Linked DNA regions of Neodiprion lecontei. The main gene of each other region encodes a partner of the protein of the gene in region 3 in a complex. Links are inferred from orthologs where the notes say so. Each region holds a gene or a part of one and is shown on either strand. Other genes may lie near its edges. The genes, in order: CCR4-NOT transcription complex subunit 9, CCR4-NOT transcription complex subunit 10-B and CCR4-NOT transcription complex subunit 11.

The links.
Region 1: CCR4-NOT transcription complex subunit 11 (region 3) and CCR4-NOT transcription complex subunit 9 share a complex: the UniProt entries of both Homo sapiens proteins name them as parts of the CCR4-NOT complex. The link is inferred for Neodiprion lecontei from reciprocal best matches to the Homo sapiens genes CNOT11 and CNOT9.
Region 2: CCR4-NOT transcription complex subunit 11 (region 3) and CCR4-NOT transcription complex subunit 10-B share a complex: the UniProt entries of both Homo sapiens proteins name them as parts of the CCR4-NOT complex. The link is inferred for Neodiprion lecontei from reciprocal best matches to the Homo sapiens genes CNOT11 and CNOT10.

Annotation. Positions count from the first base shown.
Region 1 is NC_060263.1:38,618,786-38,625,085, reverse strand, and holds CCR4-NOT transcription complex subunit 9, read right to left. Parts: upstream 4,622-6,300; 5' UTR 4,603-4,621; intron 4,516-4,602; exon of another isoform or gene 3,815-4,515; 5' UTR 3,750-3,814; coding exon 3,423-3,749; intron 3,336-3,422; coding exon 2,941-3,335; intron 2,728-2,940; exon of another isoform or gene 2,726-2,727; coding exon 2,524-2,725; 3' UTR 591-2,523; downstream 1-590. Other genes in the region: sodium-coupled monocarboxylate transporter 1, read left to right, coding at 1-143, 265-312. UniProt on the Homo sapiens protein: Component of the CCR4-NOT complex which is one of the major cellular mRNA deadenylases and is linked to various cellular processes including bulk mRNA degradation, miRNA-mediated repression, translational repression during translational initiation and general transcription regulation.
Region 2 is NC_060264.1:4,199,423-4,205,839, reverse strand, and holds CCR4-NOT transcription complex subunit 10-B, read right to left. Parts: upstream 4,346-6,417; 5' UTR 4,206-4,345; exon of another isoform or gene 4,065-4,205; intron 3,892-4,064; 5' UTR 3,853-3,891; coding exon 3,444-3,852; intron 3,250-3,443; coding exon 2,927-3,249; intron 2,689-2,926; coding exon 2,582-2,688; intron 2,442-2,581; coding exon 2,290-2,441; intron 2,198-2,289; coding exon 1,998-2,197; intron 1,931-1,997; coding exon 1,636-1,930; intron 1,519-1,635; coding exon 1,171-1,518; intron 1,079-1,170; coding exon 969-1,078; intron 853-968; coding exon 774-852; intron 682-773; coding exon 626-681; 3' UTR 503-625; downstream 1-502. Other genes in the region: josephin-2, read left to right, coding at 4,623-4,676, 4,773-4,987, 5,060-5,240, 5,339-5,572. UniProt on the Homo sapiens protein: Component of the CCR4-NOT complex which is one of the major cellular mRNA deadenylases and is linked to various cellular processes including bulk mRNA degradation, miRNA-mediated repression, translational repression during translational initiation and general transcription regulation.
Region 3 is NC_060264.1:28,417,623-28,425,018, forward strand, and holds CCR4-NOT transcription complex subunit 11, read right to left. Parts: upstream 5,624-7,396; 5' UTR 4,241-5,623; coding exon 2,873-4,240; 3' UTR 523-2,872; downstream 1-522. Other genes in the region: protein MON2 homolog, read left to right, coding at 6,119-6,241, 6,643-6,774, 7,166-7,348. UniProt on the Homo sapiens protein: Component of the CCR4-NOT complex which is one of the major cellular mRNA deadenylases and is linked to various cellular processes including bulk mRNA degradation, miRNA-mediated repression, translational repression during translational initiation and general transcription regulation.

The DNA.
Region 1 (6,300 bases), on a different chromosome or scaffold from region 3:
ATACCTGGGTTGGATTTTTGGTCGCTATTTTGGTCGGGCTACTTGTCTCTTGGATTACAGGCCCGAACAAATACAGAGTTGAGGACAAGAATTTGTACACACCCGTTATACATAAACTTTTGACAAGAGGTTCAGGTCCCACGGTAAATAATTATTGTATGCCTAAGAACAAAACCCATCCAAGAAATAATTATTCGTGGAAATGCGTAAACAAGATTTACAGTGTACAAGGATTAAATTTGGTTTTCTCGTTTTACGTTTCAGAATATGACGGAACTCGCAAAAGTGAATCAAGTAGCCGAGACGAGTTGATAATTATGTAATAATTAGTAACACATTCCGATATAAGTAACGAATAATTAAATTGTCGAATAAATTACCGCGTTTTACTATACGATCTAACATGTAAAACGTTTATTTTTTTATAGTCATTTTCATTTTATTATCAATAGTTTTTTGCGATATACTGTAGTATGTAATATATAAATATTATGTACGTATATATAATATATATATATAGACTTTTTCCATATGATAGGAATTTTTGGACAGGATAGGATATGTATGATGATAATATTAGCGAGCCGATATAATTAAGAAAATCGTATAATTAATTGCAGACATATACATATAATATTTGAATCTGAAAATTTTAACCAATCAATCAACTGTATATGCACAAACATAGACATCGATATGTATAATGCACGCCAATCACCAAGAGCAGCATTAATCTTACATCAACTTAATATTATATATATCTCTTACTAGCTGCAGCATGACTTTCTCACGTAATATCTTTATACACAAGTATACATTGCTTTGATAACAATTATTGTTATTATATATAGTTAGACTAGTGATATATATTTATATATAGATTCATTAAAGTCAATAAACCTATTGAATATTATTTCATCTTTGCGTTGTTTTTCCTTTTCTAGGAGAAAATCAGAAGGAAGAACAAGAAAGAAATTGGTTAAAATGTCAATTTTGGCTATCTCGGCGCACCCAAGAGTACACAGAGCATGCAAGGTACATATTTTATGCTTATAATCATACTTACATAATATATATATATATATATACATGTTGAACGAATTTTACAATTTACTATACGTGGAAATTTGCACACACTGTTGTAAACGCTGGCATAGTCCCGTGAATAATTTGTAACTTCCTTTCAATAATTATACCAGCATATTAATATCTGCATTATGGGCGTGCACCGGGTTCTAAAAATAATAACTATCGTAATTATAATGATGCGATGCGATTTAGGAGATTTTTATTATGCATTTGAAAGAACCGCAACTATACAATTAATTACCCCTCCTCATCCGATCTAATTCGCAGTTCTGCAATACTCTTCTTTCAAATAATATAAACACATGAAATTGAGACCATCGCTAATTAATACAAAGTGTTTTACAGCTAAATGAATGAAATTATTGTAATAATAAATTGTGCGCTTAAGTAAGATACACAGGTAATTTTCTTTAAGTAAGATCTTAATGTAATAATGAAGTAACGTGAGCTATAACGATGAAATACTCTTTTTAATCTAAGAGATAACCCTGAGCACTGGCTACTATTCAATATTTTAAAATAAGAATATTTGTAATTTTTGTTATTGTGAACAATTTCGGTAAGTAAATCAAAAGTGTTCAATTCCATTGTATGTTTTTTTGATTATATTTTTTTTTTTATACATGTATAGAGAGACATATAAAATAATATGAATGTAAAGAAACCTCGCAAATAATATCCTCACGGTAGAATTTGTATAACAAGGAAAAATCGCCGCTGCTGCCAATCACAGAACTCAAAACTAGATACGCAAATTTCCCGATGTTAAAAATTATCTTGCGATGCGAAAGCTTACCTCAAACTCAATACAATCAATGAATTCATTGAAATTATTCATAACATGCTGTTTCTCAAGAGCGTGTGAACATAAATTTAATGTACAAATATTTCATGTCTGAACGCATTTATAGCGGAATTGTTTTAAACACGGGCATCCGACAGTGATGTTGGCATACTTCGAAGTGGCTGCACAATTTTTGAAAACTTTAGGAACATGATTAAAAAAAAAGAAAAGAAAAAAAAATTATGACAAAGTAATAAACGACTATATTCAGAATGGTACCAGTCATTATTCAATAATCATACCAGTAATTTCTTCATATTTTTACATTACCGATCACTGTTGCTAGAAAACAATTGTCTTTCTTTTCATTGTTTTTTTCTTTATTTACTTCACTATTGTCTTGTCAAATTTTAATAATCTTGCCAACTAAATCCTTACAACGGAGAATCGATCCATTTTTCTTTTTGGCCAAAATATTTCCCTCACGCGGCAGTGTGAAGTTGTTATTTTCACTAAATAAGAAAAATAAGTTTATAACTTTCTTACCCTATATAGTATCTTCACTGCTTTCTCTTATCAAGTGGCACTTAATTCAACAGTCATTACTAAAATATCATTTCTACCTCACGATAGGAAAATTATTAATCAGTCTATGATGTCAGGGGTGACATGCCGATCGTCCTGGGATCTGGTTGCCCTGGCTGATTTTGAGGCCCTGGCTGAGGTCCAGTTTCCAGGTTCTTAAGTAACTGATTCAGCCAGTGGGTAGTAGATTTGTCTTCTTGTAAGCAGGTCGCAAAAGTATTATCTCTGAGTTGATCTGGTAAGCATTGCCTTAACGCCAGAAGTGCTCTGTAAAAAAATTAACATAAAAACACCTCAGAGCCATAAGAAATTCCAAACCAATCGTAATCCTTCCACATAACAATCTTTCGTCAAACCAGTTTATAATTGAAACAGTTGAAAAACAAAGCAAAGTACTACTTGTCTTTGAATTTAAAACTCTATAACTCGATCTTGAAAATAAGAATCAAGGCTGATAAACTTGCGAATCTATAAATACGAACCTGGGATTGTCCGATAGCCTCAAGTAACACCTAACAACGTGTTTGAGGAGTCTGGCGGAGGGATCTTTGGCCAAGGACAGAACCATTTTTCCCAGGATCATAGCGACGTGGCTGAATCTGTCGTAAGTTTGACATATATACGAAAGTCCGCTATCGTCGAGCAGTATTTTCTGGAGTATAAACGTAGCGACTGTTTTACTCAGTTCAGAACTACTTTCCATGATCCTCAAACAGAGCGGTATTATTTCGGTGGTGAGTAGAAACGTGATTACTTCTTGCTCATCAGTTTTAACCAGCGCTCCGATCACTCCAAGGCTGGTAAGTCTCAGGTACTCAAAGGGTCGCGTCTTGCTCGTGGTATGCAAGAACGGATAAAGGAACAAAGGTACGTGAGCCTAGGAAATGAAAAGAAATAAACCGTTATTAGGACGTTACAGGAATGTTAGCGAACCGAAGACTGGCTTCCGAGCAATTTCTATCACCTGCAGAAAAGCAGATCTCGTCTCAGGGTGACTAGCGACGCATTGAAGGAGAGCGAGAGCATTGCAGACTCTGTTGCTTTGATAGGCAGTAAGCGTAGCTGGGTTGATGGCAGGGTATATGTTGATAATCTCCTGGAGCAGTGCAGCAGTCGTGCCAAACGAGTGCCATAGCATGGGGGCGAGGTCCGGAACAACTTCGCGCTTCTTGCTCAGCTCGAACAAGGCGTTCTCCCGTGTCTCAGGATTAGACAATTCGATAATCCACGTGTATACCTTGTCGGCGTCGACGGTTGCCTGCAGGGCAGCCGGACTCTGCTGAGAACTCATTGCGACGAGATTCGTTCCTGGACTTATTCAGCTTGTAGAAAACACTGAGGAGGTGAAGATCGGAGCTGACCAAAATGGAATCTGGGTTATTTTATCTTCGATACAATCGTGCGATAGAAGAAATGACGAAGGTCTAATTGAGCACGTTTAAAATGAGCAATTCGAGATCAGATGACGCGCCGAATGTTGTCACAACCGTTGTCTGTTTACTTTGAAAGACCACATTTTACGCGGAGATCATCGGTTCATCGAGACATCTCGAACCAAGTGTTATCTTTGATTATACGTTACCGCTGTGGCCTCGGCATATGTCGGTAATACGGCCAGCTTTAAAAGGGACGCTAAGAGTTCGGGGAGCGTTTTTTGAGCGCAGATCAAACCACCTCCGTCGAACAGTAGCGAGGATTCTCGGATATCTGATCCGCGCGTTTCTGCTCTGCCGCGGAGATTTTGAGGTTAGGATTTCCAAACGGACAGCGGGCGGTGAATTACGCGTAAATTCCGGTGTCCATATTTGGCTCACACTGAAGCGATAAGAACTGTTCAGACGTCGCCGAAATACTCGCGTAAAAGGTGGGAAATTGTTCCTCTTCAAATTATATACTTTTAACTCTCAACCCGCACCGAATATACCGTTTATTTACGACGCAATCAACGCAACGCTGTCCAAAAATAACTCTAGTAGCTCGTCGGCACTCGTCGGCAGCGTTACATATGCATCTACGTGCGAGCATGTGTGTGTGCATTGCGTGAAATTAAGTCAGCTTTGGGCCACCAGGTGTTCCGGGCATGCTGGGTTGTCTCCGACGAAGCGCGTTGCGCTTGGTGGTCATTCCTTACATAAGCTACTTACAGAGAAGAGCTTCGTAAAGCCACAATCGCATTTTTCGTTGATCCAATTTATGAGCATCCTCTGACTCAAAATAGGTTTTGACATTTCGTTGTCGACATAACTGCGTTGACGAAAGTATTTGAAGACAACTGTTACCTCTGTGCAGATTTCGTAACAAGTACTCGGATGGTAAGTCAGCGTGGTGAGCCTGCGGCCGTAAGGAGCCCCGTCAGCGATCCGCCAACTTCTTCATCGGCGGGCGCCGTTTGACACGCAACTCCATAAGCGCACTAAACCCCAGTAAGGTATTATGTAACAGGTTTTAATTAACGAACATTGAAACCTTTGAGTAAGTACTGATTCAGCCCGTCAATGGAAATTTTACATACTCGTAGGTGATAGAAAATATCTTGCAGTGAATTTCGAGATTACAAAGTTCGTCAATCGATTGTAATACTGCGGTAATATCATTTGTTAATTAATGTTGGCGACGTTCATCTTCGACCACTACAGTGGCACTTCTCTTTTATAAATATGCTTTGCATTACCCACTGCTTTCATGATGTTATCGACATGCGCTTACCGACCACGGACCTCAAGACTTAATTCCACAAATCTATTTCGTGCCAGATGTCGCTACGAAAACAGAGTAGTGAAAACACCAACGTGGACTCGTTCAGACTCCTCTCTGCCGCTGATTCTGAATCAGGGCTGTTGATTTTCACTTCACTAGCTGATATTTCACCGCACATTTTATACTGCGATATAAAAAATCACTGGGGAACTGCCTCCGTCTCAGGCCTCAAAGTTCTCCCTGATTTCACATCACCCTCGCGTTTAATTCCCTGCTTAGAACTACTAATTGTAGATCAATGCTCTTTTCAATTATGAGGACTAGCTCTCTAAATGTTGTATAGAATCAATCAGGAATTATTTGATTTTCAAATTTTTTAAGATCAAGATTCGATTCGATCAATTTCACTTCACTTCCTCCACTCCTTCGGTTATTTGGAAGTATCCGATGATGATCGGCTACCCTGTGAATTTGAGACGGATCGGTTCGACGGTCTTCGAGATATCCTGGTAGAGAGTTTGAAAAAACCGGTTTCAACAAAAACTGCTCTGAAGCTTTACAAGGAGCGTACGTCGCGGTTCATTGACATGCTAATCGAAAACTAATTACCGCGGCAGGTATTATGCAATTAAGTACACATACAATTTCGGATAAAGTTAAAATTACAGCTGATTTTGTACTTTCGTGAGAAACCCGTTAACGAAAATAAACGAACCGAGCAACAAATTCTACCCGTATTTCCGACCACAGAATCGTAATTGTACGATTATGAATTGTCATATTGTGTAAATTCTTGAATAATCCGCAAAGCCGAGACGGTTATGCATGCAACATCGGAGGCCCGCAAGGCCGCTCAAGGATGCCGTCGAGGGTTCAAGGACGTTCGAAGACTCCTGACGTTATTACACGCATGAATGCGTGAAGGAGCACTGCAGCGGATACCCGAGCAGCGTTATAGAAACGGGGTAAAAATTTTCTCCGGTAGAATGGGAGCAAGAATAAAATAATAGTTAAACCGAACGATCAACTTGTCTTTATTGTGTAATTATCTACAGCCGCATGAGCAAACCCCGCATACGGCATGAAATCGTCGAGTATAACAACCATGATTTCTACACCAAAACTGAAAGTAGGAATATTGAGAA
Region 2 (6,417 bases), about 24 Mb from region 3:
CACCAGCGCGTCCATACACAGAATCTTTCGGCTCTCGACCGTCGCTTCTGCGATCTCCCGATGCACTGATGCCGTTTCTCAAGCCGCAGCTCTGCGTAATACATACACACATACGTCGTATTCAATCATTACGTCTGATCTCTATACTAACTTACCGACCGGGAATAACTCCGAGCTCCTGATTGGCTCTGACTGGCAACTGCATCGCGGGTTTAACGGAAACTGTAACATACGCATGTACCAGGGAGTCTTGTTCATTTGTCATTATTTCGTTTTAAAGCGGGAAGTCGATGCGATGTCCAAAAGGTTTTGAATAAGGAAAAGATATTGTTTTTATAAAGGTTTAGTTTCTTTAAAGTTGGCTATAATAATTCGATAATTGAACTACTATCGTATCTATATCGTAAATATAGAGGTAACACACTTGATTGTAATCAACGTGTATAATTGGAAAATTTGATTGTTAATTTACATGTATAATGTATGCATGTGTGTATATACATAATAGTTAAGCTGTATATTTATTGTATAATATAAATATTACAAAGAACGATTTCGCCCTTGTGCAGGTAATCATCGTTGAATTTGATCGATCCCCGTCAGTCTATTATTCAATTTTACAAATTTATTGATATTGCGGACAATGCTGCTTTATTATTGATTTTGACACGTGCGCATTGCCTGAAAGCAGAAGATATAAAATTATTTCATTAATTTTCATCAGAATCTAACAAAGTAACAAACTTAAACAAAGATGAGCATAGATCGCTTACCTAATTGCAATTCTATGTATAATGCCAACATTATAACATGTATTGGAACGTCGCAATTAGGACCCTTAGAAATCCACACCTGGGATAGAGAAGAATAAATATACATATGCGAATAAATGAAAAAACGGAATACAATTATTACAATTCAGTACATTGATGAGCGGAGACGAATAAAACAACTCTTTGGTAGATTACCTGCTTTAAAGTTTCTCCAGATTTATCTAGTTCGCCTCGAATTGCGTAAGCTACTGCTAAGTTGTACTGAAGAACTGCTTTTCCTGTGGGAAGACTGTTGGGGTACCAACCTACAGAATAGAACAAACGGCATGAAACCGATAACTAAAAAATTTGATCAACATCCTAATCTGTTTGTTCGTTTCATTTCTTTTCTACTTACTTCTCACAGGTGTTACAAATGGTTCTTCGGATTTATCTTTATCCTTATCCAGAGTTTCGGGAATTGGTAGAAATGTATCTATATCTTGAATATTCTCAGGCTTTAGGTACTCAATGGCCTCGTTTATTTTATTCATGAGAATTAAGCTCTCGGCGGCATATAAATTTCCTAGCATTTTATACGCACCGGGCAATTTTGACATGCCGAGTAAAGCCTTTGCATGCTCTAGAGCTACGACGTTGTCACCAAGACACAAGGAGATGTAGGCACTGGCTGCAAGTACGCTTGCCTTTAAATTCAATGCCTCTAGCGCCGTCGCCTGCGACACCTGAGTCGCATGTTGGCCACCTTAAGGAATTTCAATTATAGTAGACTGCGTTATGCGAACTCTAACTTTTACAAATTTTTTTTGTTATGACAAATAAAACGTTTCAATTTTAGGACCTAATAAATTTCTTAATTCACCTAGTACATGAGACGGCTTCAGAGACATTGGAACAGATTGCGGACCAGCCATTGGTGTCGACGGCAAGTTCAACTCATTGTTGTCATTTGGTAGAAGAAATAAGGCATTTTTCAAACACAACATTCCAAATTCTAGAGTAGGTTGAGGTATGGCGCAAGACAATCCTTCTGTGTGGTATTTAGTGTCTTTTGATAAAGCTGATGCCAAAATAATTTTTCTGTATATGCCATTACCGACTACTTTTTGTACGAGATCCTTGCGACGTTTGTGTATATTAAAGTCAATTTCATTCGTCTGAAAAGATTTTGATAAATAAGTCTATAAACACTTACGATTATTAAAACAAATTGTAGACACTCACCGGCTTATGACTATATATACAGCATTCGGCCATTCTCAGCCAGAGACGTGGACTGTTGTGCAGTTTTTGCGCGGATTCTGTGAAACATTCAAATGCCTGCGCTGCACGTCTTGCATGTAGTAGCGATACCCCCAAGCTGTACATTAATTCGTAATGCTTATTACCGCCAAGAGTATAAAGCGGTTGCGACAAAAACGGATCTGCGAATATTTATCAGAGTTTAGTTTTAAGTTGATGCTTTGGAAGACAAAAATTGAATGTTCAAAGTTATGAAAATGTTATTAGATTTTACCAGCATCTTTAACTTGGATGCTTTCAACCGCATTTTTGTTCTCTTGTAACGCTTTTTGTAAATAGTAACAAGCCAAGTTTGGTTTGCCCATCGCATGGTGCAGACAAGCCATATTGTTATAGTATAAAACTGCCGCCGATTCTCCGCTGCTTCTGTAAGCAGTAGATTGACAGTGTAAAATAATGTCAAACAAAAAAATAACTAGGTCTTCGAACAACCGATCAGATTGTCTTACAAGTTCCAGACATAGCCAAGATGGTACAAAAATATAGTTGATACATTGGCAGCTTACTTGTATTCCAGACCATCTGCAGATATGGAATTTAATATTTTGATAGCCTTTCTGTAATTCCCTCTCAGATATTCCAAATTTCCCTTCAGAAGTATAGATGAGACGTTCTAAAAACAACAAATCAAAAGCAAGCCTTGGTGCAAATTTTTCTACGATCAATATCCAGCACATTTTTTATGAAACAGGTGTATGACTTGTGTCAAATTTCACCGCTTTGCATGATACATCATAATTTTTCAAATACTACTTGAAGATTTAAGAAGTATAAGGTTCTTCATCAGGGCACGTTTATATTTCCTGTGAAAAACCTGGTTTCAAGTTTCACTGTTTCAAGATGAAACTTACAACAGGTGTGCCGGAAGCAACAAGAGCCTTCCACTCCTTCTTACACAACTTGAGCTGATGGGTCATGAGGTAGATCCTCGCCTTGTACTTTAACAATTTGATCCTAAATGCATCTGTTGCTGCGTCAACATTATCCGTCTTCTCTTTTTGCTCTTTGATAGGCTTTATAGCGTTCTCCTTGTCTGTCGGTGTGATCTTGGACGTATCCGTAGAGACAAATTGACTTTCAATATAATTTAACAGCGACAATGCTGCATCAGGTTGATTTGTAACGATGTGCAGCTTTATGAGTAACAGACAGACTTTATGCGCCAGACTCTCCTCTAGAATGGGCAAAATTTAACGATGTGAATAACAATGATGCTCAGAACTTTGTAAACACAAAAACTTGTCAAATGAACTGATCGTAATTAAGACAGTGACGAAATCAGCAACTAATTTAATAAAGAACATTAGTGCAAAAAGGAATGTCTGTAAGGAGCCTGCAGAAGGACGAGCTAATTTGTAAATTGCTCACCCATCGGCTCGACGAATGTGAACAGCTTGTTGACTACTTTAAGAGCCAAGTCATACTGTTTGGTGTGAAAAAGAAGAACAGCCTGATTGTATCGCATGACGCATCTTTCGACATCGTCAACAGCTTCAGTTGTGTTGGCGGTACTTATTTGACCACATATAGCATTAAGACTTTTTCTAAACAGCTCAGTCTTTTTCAGATCACTTTTGTAATACTCGGTGACAACTTTGTTGTGCATTACTTTCAGATCTTTTGGTCTCAACGCCTCTAGTTTGTTCAAGTTGCTCAGACATCCTGAATAAGCGCTTTTCTGAAAATCGGTCAAAGCATTCTGAGCCAATTCACGTTCCTGGTCAGTTATCACCGAGGCTGTACTATCGTTATTGTGCGACTCCGAAATCTCTGTCATCGTTAAATTGATTGATATTGAATAAGTGGTAACAAATTCCTGGAATAAAAAGAGTTGATTAGTTAGTGTTCGAATAGATTTGTAAAACTTATCAAACTTTGATAATTCGTATTACACGTAAAATAACACAAGGAAAAGCAAATCAGGGTTTGACAGATGAGATCATTGTTAGGTTAGGTCAGGTTTGAGAGTGACTTTTTAACTAAACTCACTTAATAATCTATATCAATATGAAAAACTTTTAAACAAGGTCACACCTAGTTTAATCACAGATTTTTTCGGGTCAAATTCATGTAGTAATAAATATATCACGTGTTTTTGTTACAAAATCACGGTTAAGAGGTTATGAATACCAATAATTATTTCGTAAAAATCGTCAAACGCAGGTCAGGTGACTTCTGAAACAGTTCTATTGGAAATCCACAAGAGAGCGTTATTAAGTCATTTGGCGTTTGGCAATATCTTCCGGGACGCAAGTCAGTCAACATCTTGCATAATTCACTGCACTTTGTGGCCGTGATCGCATCTCTAACAACTGGTTGTACATAGTAGTGTTTTGTCCATCCTTTCTGTCAGACAAAACAGAATAGGTTATATTTATTAAATATTAAATTAAACAAGTTACGACTAACTACGATGTAGATGTAGTAACTTGAAAAACGCAGAGATCTTACTCACGTCCGCCTCTCATTTTCACCCTAATAAAGCAACGTTTTAGTAGAATTAATGACAATCATCAACTTGAGTAGTCGCATAATTATGTAGTAAGAATGGTGAAAAGTGTAGTTTTTGACATGAATGGATCTATATATCATGAACGTCAGGTAACATAATGAGAAATACACTTCATTTTACACTAATTTTTATCATCCCCACTTCCTGTCACACTGTATACAATATTCTGTTTACAAATGACACAGGTTAAAGAGCTCTGTGCTTTACACGCCTTGAACAATCTATTTCAAGAGCACGGATTTACGAAGCAAGAATTAGATCAAATATGTTATAGTCTGAGCCCCGACGTTTGGATAAATCCGCACAAATCTTTACTGGGACTTGGTAATTATGATATCAACGTTATCATGGCTGCTTTACAAAGAAAAGGTCATGAGGCTGTGTGGTTTGATAAACGCAGGTAATATTTTGCTTTTTCTCAACCTGATGCAATAGTCACTTTTGTTGATTTGAAGGCAATCAATTTTTTCAGAGATCCAAAATGTCTTTGTCTCGATAACATTGAAGGCTTTATATTAAACGTACCCACCGAGTATAAGCTAGGATTTGTTTTGCTACCACTAAAAAGACGGCACTGGGTCGCCTTGCGTAAAATAAGCGGCACTTTTTACAATCTTGATTCCAAACTTGAGACGCCACAACTCATCGGAAAGGTTAATATATACTTTTTTCTCCTAATTCATATTAGTGTTTAAGTTTACTACTCATTTTTTAACACTGCCCTGTACTGCATAGTATCTATACTTTACAGGATAATGAATTGATAGCATACTTAAAGGAGCAGATCGATAGCAAGGAAAAGGAATTGTTTCTTGTCGTGTCTAGAGAAGTGGACAGCAAGCAAGGGTGGCTTATAGACCCATATCTTCAATCAAAGATACAAAATGATACCGATCAAGACTCAATTCAATACATCGAAGACAGTTTGCCTTCAGATATTGATTTGCAGGACAATGCAACTGATAAACGGGACTGCCAAAGTTGATAAAATGTGAGATTTATTGTCACACACTTATCGACTATTGGTTGTTTTTAAATAGTTTTTTTGTCTTTCGATTAACTTTTTTTTCTTACTTCGAGATATACATTTTAGAGGCTCATAGAATGAGTAATTATGTCAGTAGAATAACATTTGTACAGACCACCCAAAGATTCAAATAATGAAACTGATTGAAGAATGTTGTTGTAATGTTTGAGAAAAATGTTGTGTCATAGCAACTGATTCAAGTATTTTCTGATGATAGTGATCACCATGATGTTTTAATGTAAGCTATTGCTGAAATGGGTAAAAAAAAAAGTGGGTGTCATTTCATCAACGGATTCTACTGTCGACCATGAATCAGAAAATAAGAAAAATTAAATTGATTAAAAAAAAAAAAAAAAAAAAAAAACAAAACTAATAAGAAGACATAGTTTTGTGTCATATATTGTGTACATATTGTGCAAGGAATTGTGCGTTACATACGATGAATACGTAAATAATATTGAGCTTTCTCAAAATGTTGTAGAAATTTGTTTTACAATTTTAACTACATACTTTGTTTTGTTATGTTTTGATTTTGCTAGCAAAACATCAACCCATATACAGGGTTACTCAGGACTTTCGTCCCATAGGCTATCAGTGTGTTTCTTGTGAAAATCTCTGACTAAAACATTTCTTACTTTTAATAGGAAATTTCTCGTTTGCGAATCACATCTGTCTGAAATTGGGCGATCGGGTAGCAGTATTCTGAGTGATCAGATACCCCTGGATCGGCAAATTTCGAACAGCTGTGATTCGCAAATGACAAATTTCTTATGAGAAATAAATAACATTTCAGCCTATGGGGC
Region 3 (7,396 bases):
GCGGATTGAAAATGCAAACAACAGTCAAGAAAGGAAAACGACTTAAAGACATTGCCGCATTGTAGAAAAGTACAAAGACGAAGAAGAAAAATAATGGTGTTGAATATTAGACATAGTTAGCTTAAATTTCAGAAGGATTGAACGTTATTGTTGGGTTCCGTTTAGGAAATAGATCGTAGCTGCACAACTTTGGCATCTTTGGTCTCTAGTTATTCAGAAAAGTTTGTTCTATCACCAGCCTATAATTTCCTAATATTGTGATGAGGTTGAAATCAGTAACGTTAATTTTATAATGAATGTTTAAGAAGAATAGTTTTTTCGCAACTTTAATTTCGTCCGAAATTGAGTAAATCGTAACGAGGCAGAAACGTTTTCATATTTTTAAAACTCAACTCTTTCAAAATCATTCTAAAATTGCAAAGTGATGATTTTTCTTCCTAACGTTTTATCAAGGCAACGTACTAACTTTAACCTCATATATCGGTAGGCGTTGTAATTAGAGTTAATTTTTTTTTTTTTTTAATTTGATATTTTTGAAAAGACTAACAATAAATTATGAATTCCATATGTTTAGTTCTCTGTTTTTTTAACTCAAAATTTACGAGTAGAACCATTTATATTAACCTGATAGAGGCATCTTTGCTGAGCGATCAGGGACCATAAGATTTAAAATCTCATCCGTAGTTGTACTTTCGCAATTTTATAATGTGCGAGGTAACGGCTAAGAGATTCCGACTGACCCGCATTGTTGCATCTGAGATAAATTGAATCGATGAAGTGATCAAATACTTCTCAAGATATCATCATAGTGATTAAGGATTTTTGTACATAAATTAAAGGTACTTGTTGATACCTTTCGTTGATTGAATGATTGAAAATTAGTTGAAGATTGTGAGATATTGTTGTGTTAGATGTTCAATCGAAATTTGATTGATTTACACCTAACCAGAGCGATGAAAAATTCTGAAATTGTTGTTAGTTGCACTTACGAAGAGGAGAAATCAAAAAATGTGCAAGTGCCTGCAACTGTAAAATTACTGCATAGTTATTTATCATTGGGAATTTAAAAGTAAAATTTTTAAATTAAAAAAAATATTAAAAATAAAATGGAATAAATAAATGGCACCGACAGCTTTTTTTAATTCTCCTCTTCATACGTGAATACGATTATTCTCTTTTTGATTTCTTTTCACACGATCTATTTACACAAGCTTTTGCGTCCGCTTGAGATTGCATCAGGATAAAGTATAGAATATTGTACAAATTCGCATAACAATTTAAAGGTGTAACGGTTTTACGTTTACGGTCATAGAAAACAACAGATATGTCACATGAATAAAATGGATCAAATCCAGTCTGACCAAGTTTGGTTTCTAATAAAAATTTTAAAGTCCATTTGCGGTCTCGTAACACTTAATGTAATGTTATACCTATACATGAATTAGAGTACAACTAATTTTCTCTTTAAAAGTCAAATTATATTCTACGTGTATATATTATAGTAGTAGTAGTAGTAATAATAATAACAATAATAATAATAACAATAATAATAATAATAATCATTATGATGATGATGATGACGTTGACAATGATTGTAACAATAGTAATTAAAGTAACACTGAGCTAATATAAATGATTGGAATTGGAAGATAATTTTTAAAAATGTTGTGTATAATAATAACAATCTTTATTTAAAAGATACACGTCTGAGGACGACTCGAATCATGTATCATAAAATATCATACTATAGGTTGAAAGTATAGTATAGGTATAGAAAGTATATGAAATATAAAGCAGTGTCGTAAGCTTATTAGAAAATCGACCAGCTTGAAACAAGACCTGTATTTTCTGTAGCCATACGATCCGTACTTTATGTGTATTGCCTGTAAAAAGACACATTTATGGCTTCAGTTATGCCTATGTCATATAAATATATTTAATATAACAATACAGAAAATTGACGGCACGAATATTTATATTCAATTATTTATGAATTCACTTGAGAAATCAATAGTCGATCAACTACTGATAAAATCATTATTCGCAATATGTTCAGACTATCATTGGTGATTAACACATGATGGTTTCTTGAATTGTTGAAATATAACATTGACGTATTACTTTGTTGCAAAAACTGAATTTTGTAGACTAAATTTTCGTTTCTACCTATGAATAAATACGGGATTTATATAAGTTTTAAATTTATTGCAGGACTTGTTCTAATCACTTTATAGGTGATTCGTTGTGTGCGATAATTTAAAGAGTCAATTTATCATTGGAAATTATTTCCTAAAACTGTTTAACCATAATATTTCATCTATCATATACGTATATAAATATATCTGCACGGGTTAATAACAGCCAGGAGAAACTAGTTAACTGTAAAGTATATATTTTATTGATATTACACTTTCGAATGAAGTCCTTGCCCAATTCTAAGATTGTGTATTAACGTAAGTAAACGTTTTACAGAAATATTAATTATGGAACAAAGAGTTCAAAATTATTGATTTGATGAATTTGTATAAAACAGAACTTATTATACGTATACTTGTAAAAAAAAAAAGAAAAAAAATAATAATATTGTCAAATTTAAACAAAGTTGACTTGAAAAAAAAAAAAAAAACTCATTACCTAGTTCTTCTGCTAAAAAATCGATTGAGTAACAGAATATTTCCTGATCAGTCAATACTTATTATTATTGAATGTTAAAAAAAAATTCGAATCCATGCGGCCCAGAAGATTTGGTTCAATATTTCCATGAAGAGTATACCAACTGAAGCATCTCAACTTTCCAATTGCAATACCACGATGATCCATTTCTTAACTATTTATTACAATCCAAGTTTTCCATTACTTGCAATAACTCTTTTCAGCAAGGATCGATCTTACTCTTAGCCGGCGGGGTATTGAGCCCACCGATATCACCAGATTCAAGTTGTTTAAGCAGCCGGAAGAGCGCAGCAGCTTCTCTAATCCTGCTAAATTCGATGCAAAAGGCTTGTACTTCGATGAAAAGTTCTTGAACATTGATTATCTTGTTTCTGATTAGAGACTGAAGGAACACGCAAACCAGACGGACTAAACGATTTTGCATATATCGATCTTTGATGGTTTCGCAAGTCGATATGCAATTACTGATGTAAAGGTGAACAAACTCTGTTGGTAGATCGACTGTGGTTGTCAATCTATTCACAACTTCCATCGAATGCAAGGACATCTCCATATTAACCAGCACGCTGAAGTACTCTGTTATTTGGCTGGACTGCATAAGCTTCAGCAGGACTTCAATAGCTATTAGCGGATTGTTTTCAACCAAGTCCGGAAGCTTTACGGGGGTCAAACCGATGTGGTAAACGAGTTTTGGGTCAGCGTCTAGCTCCATAAGCAAGTGCTGTTGCTGCTGGAGCGTCAAGGCACTCTTATACGCTCTGCCCATCAGTCTGCGTGCCTCGGCCCCTGCACAATTAGACACACACATGGAAGAATCGTACTCAACCGTGAACTGGCTCGGCTCCTCAACGTTCATCCATGCAAGTTCATCTGCGGAGTGATACAACGGTGGTGTGAGCCTCAGGAATTCTGGCCGATAGCTTTGGCTACAAAGAGGTGGCTCGCCGATCACAAGACTCTCCGCTATAGCTCTGCCAACTGTCTTGTCTATCTCGCCAGCTTTCGAGCGGTCCATATCCGGGAGGATTACTGGATTTCCACATTTGCTTACACTTGGTAGTTCCGACAGCCTTTCGGCTAGTTGAAGCTGCAGACTAGTGAGATCGACGAGAGGAGTAGCCGAGTGAGACATCTCTTCTATGATTTGTCTCGCTGTTTTTTTCATCGTCTCTTTGGCTCCATAGCCGAGTAGGTGGCTAAGCAGGTTCTTCTCGCATCTGGAGAGCGCCGGGATGTGTCCAGAGAAGTTTGGCCGAGACACCGAACCTGAAGCACTCTCATCCGAGGGCTTCAATACCTGGATGAACACTGTGGCAAACGGCGTAGACGCCAGTTGCTCGCCTCGATAAAGGTCGTAGAGAAGAGCGAGCGCCATTATTCGCTGAACATTGTTTGGCAGGAGATCGATGTGCTGAAGAAGCAGCAACAGGGTTGTTCCGACTTTGAAGAGATCCTCCTTTGCAAACGCCTGGTGTAACTGATTAGATAGTGATTCTAAACTGGTATCCAGGTTCTCCTCGTCCAGAATATCAAGCAGGTTTGATAATTGCTTTGGTGTTGCAGACATGACGAATTGCGGACTTTATCGATGAGTTTGTACAGAGTTTTTTGGAGTCAATATTCGGTGAAAGCGTCGAGATTTCATCCACCAATCAATTACAATACTTATCGCCAAAGGTTTCGTACAGCTTCGAAGGGTTTCGAAACACACTTCTAGGCAAATTCAATTTGAATGACTATGTTGTTGTTATTACGGTAACCTTCAGTTTCGGTGGGAAAAAATTTTCTTTGCCGAAGATTCCTACTGATGGAAATGAGTGAGCCCCAGAATTTTACACATATTAGATATTAGAAGGATTATGCACTTTAAATCTACAATATTTACATATTTATTCAATTACTTGAAGTCACTTCAATGTTTCTTAACCTCTCAGCAAAACATTTTTTTTCAAGTTGTCACGGACAAAGTAATTGGGAAGAAAAATGAGGCGTCAATATTTTACGGATCCTGTACCACGTGATGTCATCCAATGTTTGGCGGATAAATCGAGAAGCTTTGCAAAGTTGCATATTGGCTTCGATCATTTTTCGTTTTTGCATTTATTATTTCATAAAATCCATCATATTTTACTTCAAATGATCGAGAGTGTTTTCAAATTTTGTAGACTATACTTGAAAAGCTCGAAAACTGATCAATCGCCAATGTTTTGCTACTTTGAGTATTCGTATCAAGACGGAGTTAACAAAATTCATTCATTATTCATCAATTTTGACGGTAAACCGAAAGCGATACTTCATCATTTACTTAATTAAATTTTAACTCCTGTGCGCCAGCATAGAAGATAATTGTTTTCATCATCGTGGTCTGTAGAGTTACTTGGATTATAATCGTCACGCCAAAAGTAGGTATTTTTAGGTCATTATACTCAGCCTCTCTGCAGTTGAGTGAATTTTATTAGGGGCCATGGTAGTGTAGAATCACTTCGGGATGTCGGGTAAAATTGGTAAAAATGGGTACAGTAGGTTTCGTGTAGTTTTTTTTTTTTTTTATTGCCACCTGAATTTGAAAATTTCTCGAGGTCGCTCGTAGAATTTTAGGATTAGATCGCAAATTGCGGACTTGGGGTATGTTCCGATATACACTGCGAGCACTGTAAGGTGTGTCGTCAATTTAGTATACTGCGAAGCCGTTCCTGTATAGTTAGCTATACTGGTTACTGCTTAAAACGGAACGCAGTACAGTATACTGTGATCGACATTTTTTGGCGTTACTTTCATTTCATACATAATATTTGTTTCACATTGCAATAAAAACAATTTATTCAAATTTTCCATTTTTGTTTTTAACGGCCGATATTTTTAAATGACAATATTCAATAATAATAATTATCAATAGTGGAAGCTGTTAAATTTCTGAACGCTGTTGATCACGTGATCAAAGCACTGAGAGCACCTTACCCCGAAAGCACCAGTGTTCACAGTAGAAAAATGGCGACGATTTATGACGTCATATATTTCCCTATGATACTGCGACTGTATACTGTCGGAACGATTTTCTCCCCAGTAAGAGCACTGAACAGTGCTCGCAGTGTATATCGGAACATACCCTTGGTGTTATTCGAACTCGGCCGAGATGGTGTAGAGTGGGGGTGATACGAAAAGGGCGAGCCTATACGAAACGGTGGTTGGCTGATGGTTGGTTAGCTGACTGGTTGTCATCACGAACTAGCAATAACTTCGTGGTTGTCATTTCTGATAAACGGAGCGATCAGAATGCCAGCTCATCTGTTAATGCGGCATCTGTGATTACGCTTTCTGACGTTCGCTGCAAGGAAACTGTTAAGTGCGAGTGAAATTCATCGAAGTTTAACTGTCATGAAAGAATAATATCCGCCTCACCGAAGGCTCCACCTCGATTTTATCACAAATTACTGTAATCAACAAGATGATGGTAAATACAGCCGTCGGAGGCGGCCAGGAGAACGTTGCCAAATTCCTTGAGTCTTTGCAATCTGATTTAAAGGTTCTGTCATCGGAAACTAAAAAAAAGTATCCACAGATTAGAGAGGTATCGTATCTTATCCATACGCCATCAATTATTCACCATTTAATTGATTATTCTCATTTTAGGTTAGGTCAGGATGTTATTATCTGCTCGATCATAAGCATTCTTTTGATAATGACCTATAGCCTGTTTGCGACTTCAACATAACTTACAACAATTATTGTTCGCGCATCATGTCTTCTTGCTTTACTGTTGCTGAAGAACAAACAAGTCTTGACTCAGAACATTTTGACAGCTGTCAAAACGTTCTAATACGGTCTCAGTAATTTGTTTTCAAACTTTGTTAACCACGAAAAGCTCGCTTCTGAAATTATTTCTGTTTGCCTACCTTATCGAATAATTGACGATTGTACAATTCCATCTGCCTTGATGTGAAATTTTTAAATATTTCTTTTGTTTCACAGTCCTGCGAAGAAGGAATATCTAAGTTACGGACAGCTGCCAATAGTCCTGGAACACCGATATACTACATTGTCAATCAAATATTATATCCTTTGGTACAAGGATGCGAAAGTCGAGATGTAAAGATTATAAAGGTATCAAAAAGCATTACTGCTGGTGTTAGTCTTACAGGAAAAAATGTAATGGCTAGCTTATAAGTTGAAACGTTTATTCAAATTGTTAGTTTGTGATTAGTCTTTTGTGATTTCGTTTCAGCAGCATGAACAGAGGTTTTTTAATTTTAACATATTGTTCAATATGACTTAGACTATCTACTTTATCAATTCTTATCAAGTTGACTTAAAGTATGAATCAACGGACAAGGAACAAAAATAATGGGTGTACTAGAAATCTCAAAAATTAGATAAACTTTGGCACAAAATCGTAGAATTATGGAAGAATATGTACTGAAAAATTCACTGAAAACCAATTATCCAACTTATAGATTATGAAGTTAACTTTTAATTTATCCTGTTTTTATTTCAGTTTTGCTTAGGCATGATGCAAAGGCTCATAACACAGCAAGCGGTGGACACAAAAGGAGCCCGATACATTACAGATGCTCTATGGATGCTGATGGAATCTGGTACAGAGGAAGTGAAAATTCTTCAAAGTGTTACCCTGCTACTAACGAGTAACACTGTCGTTCACGGAGAGACTCTGGCCAGGGTAATTACTCAGTTTCATTTGAAGAAATCTTCTAAACTCTCAATCAGC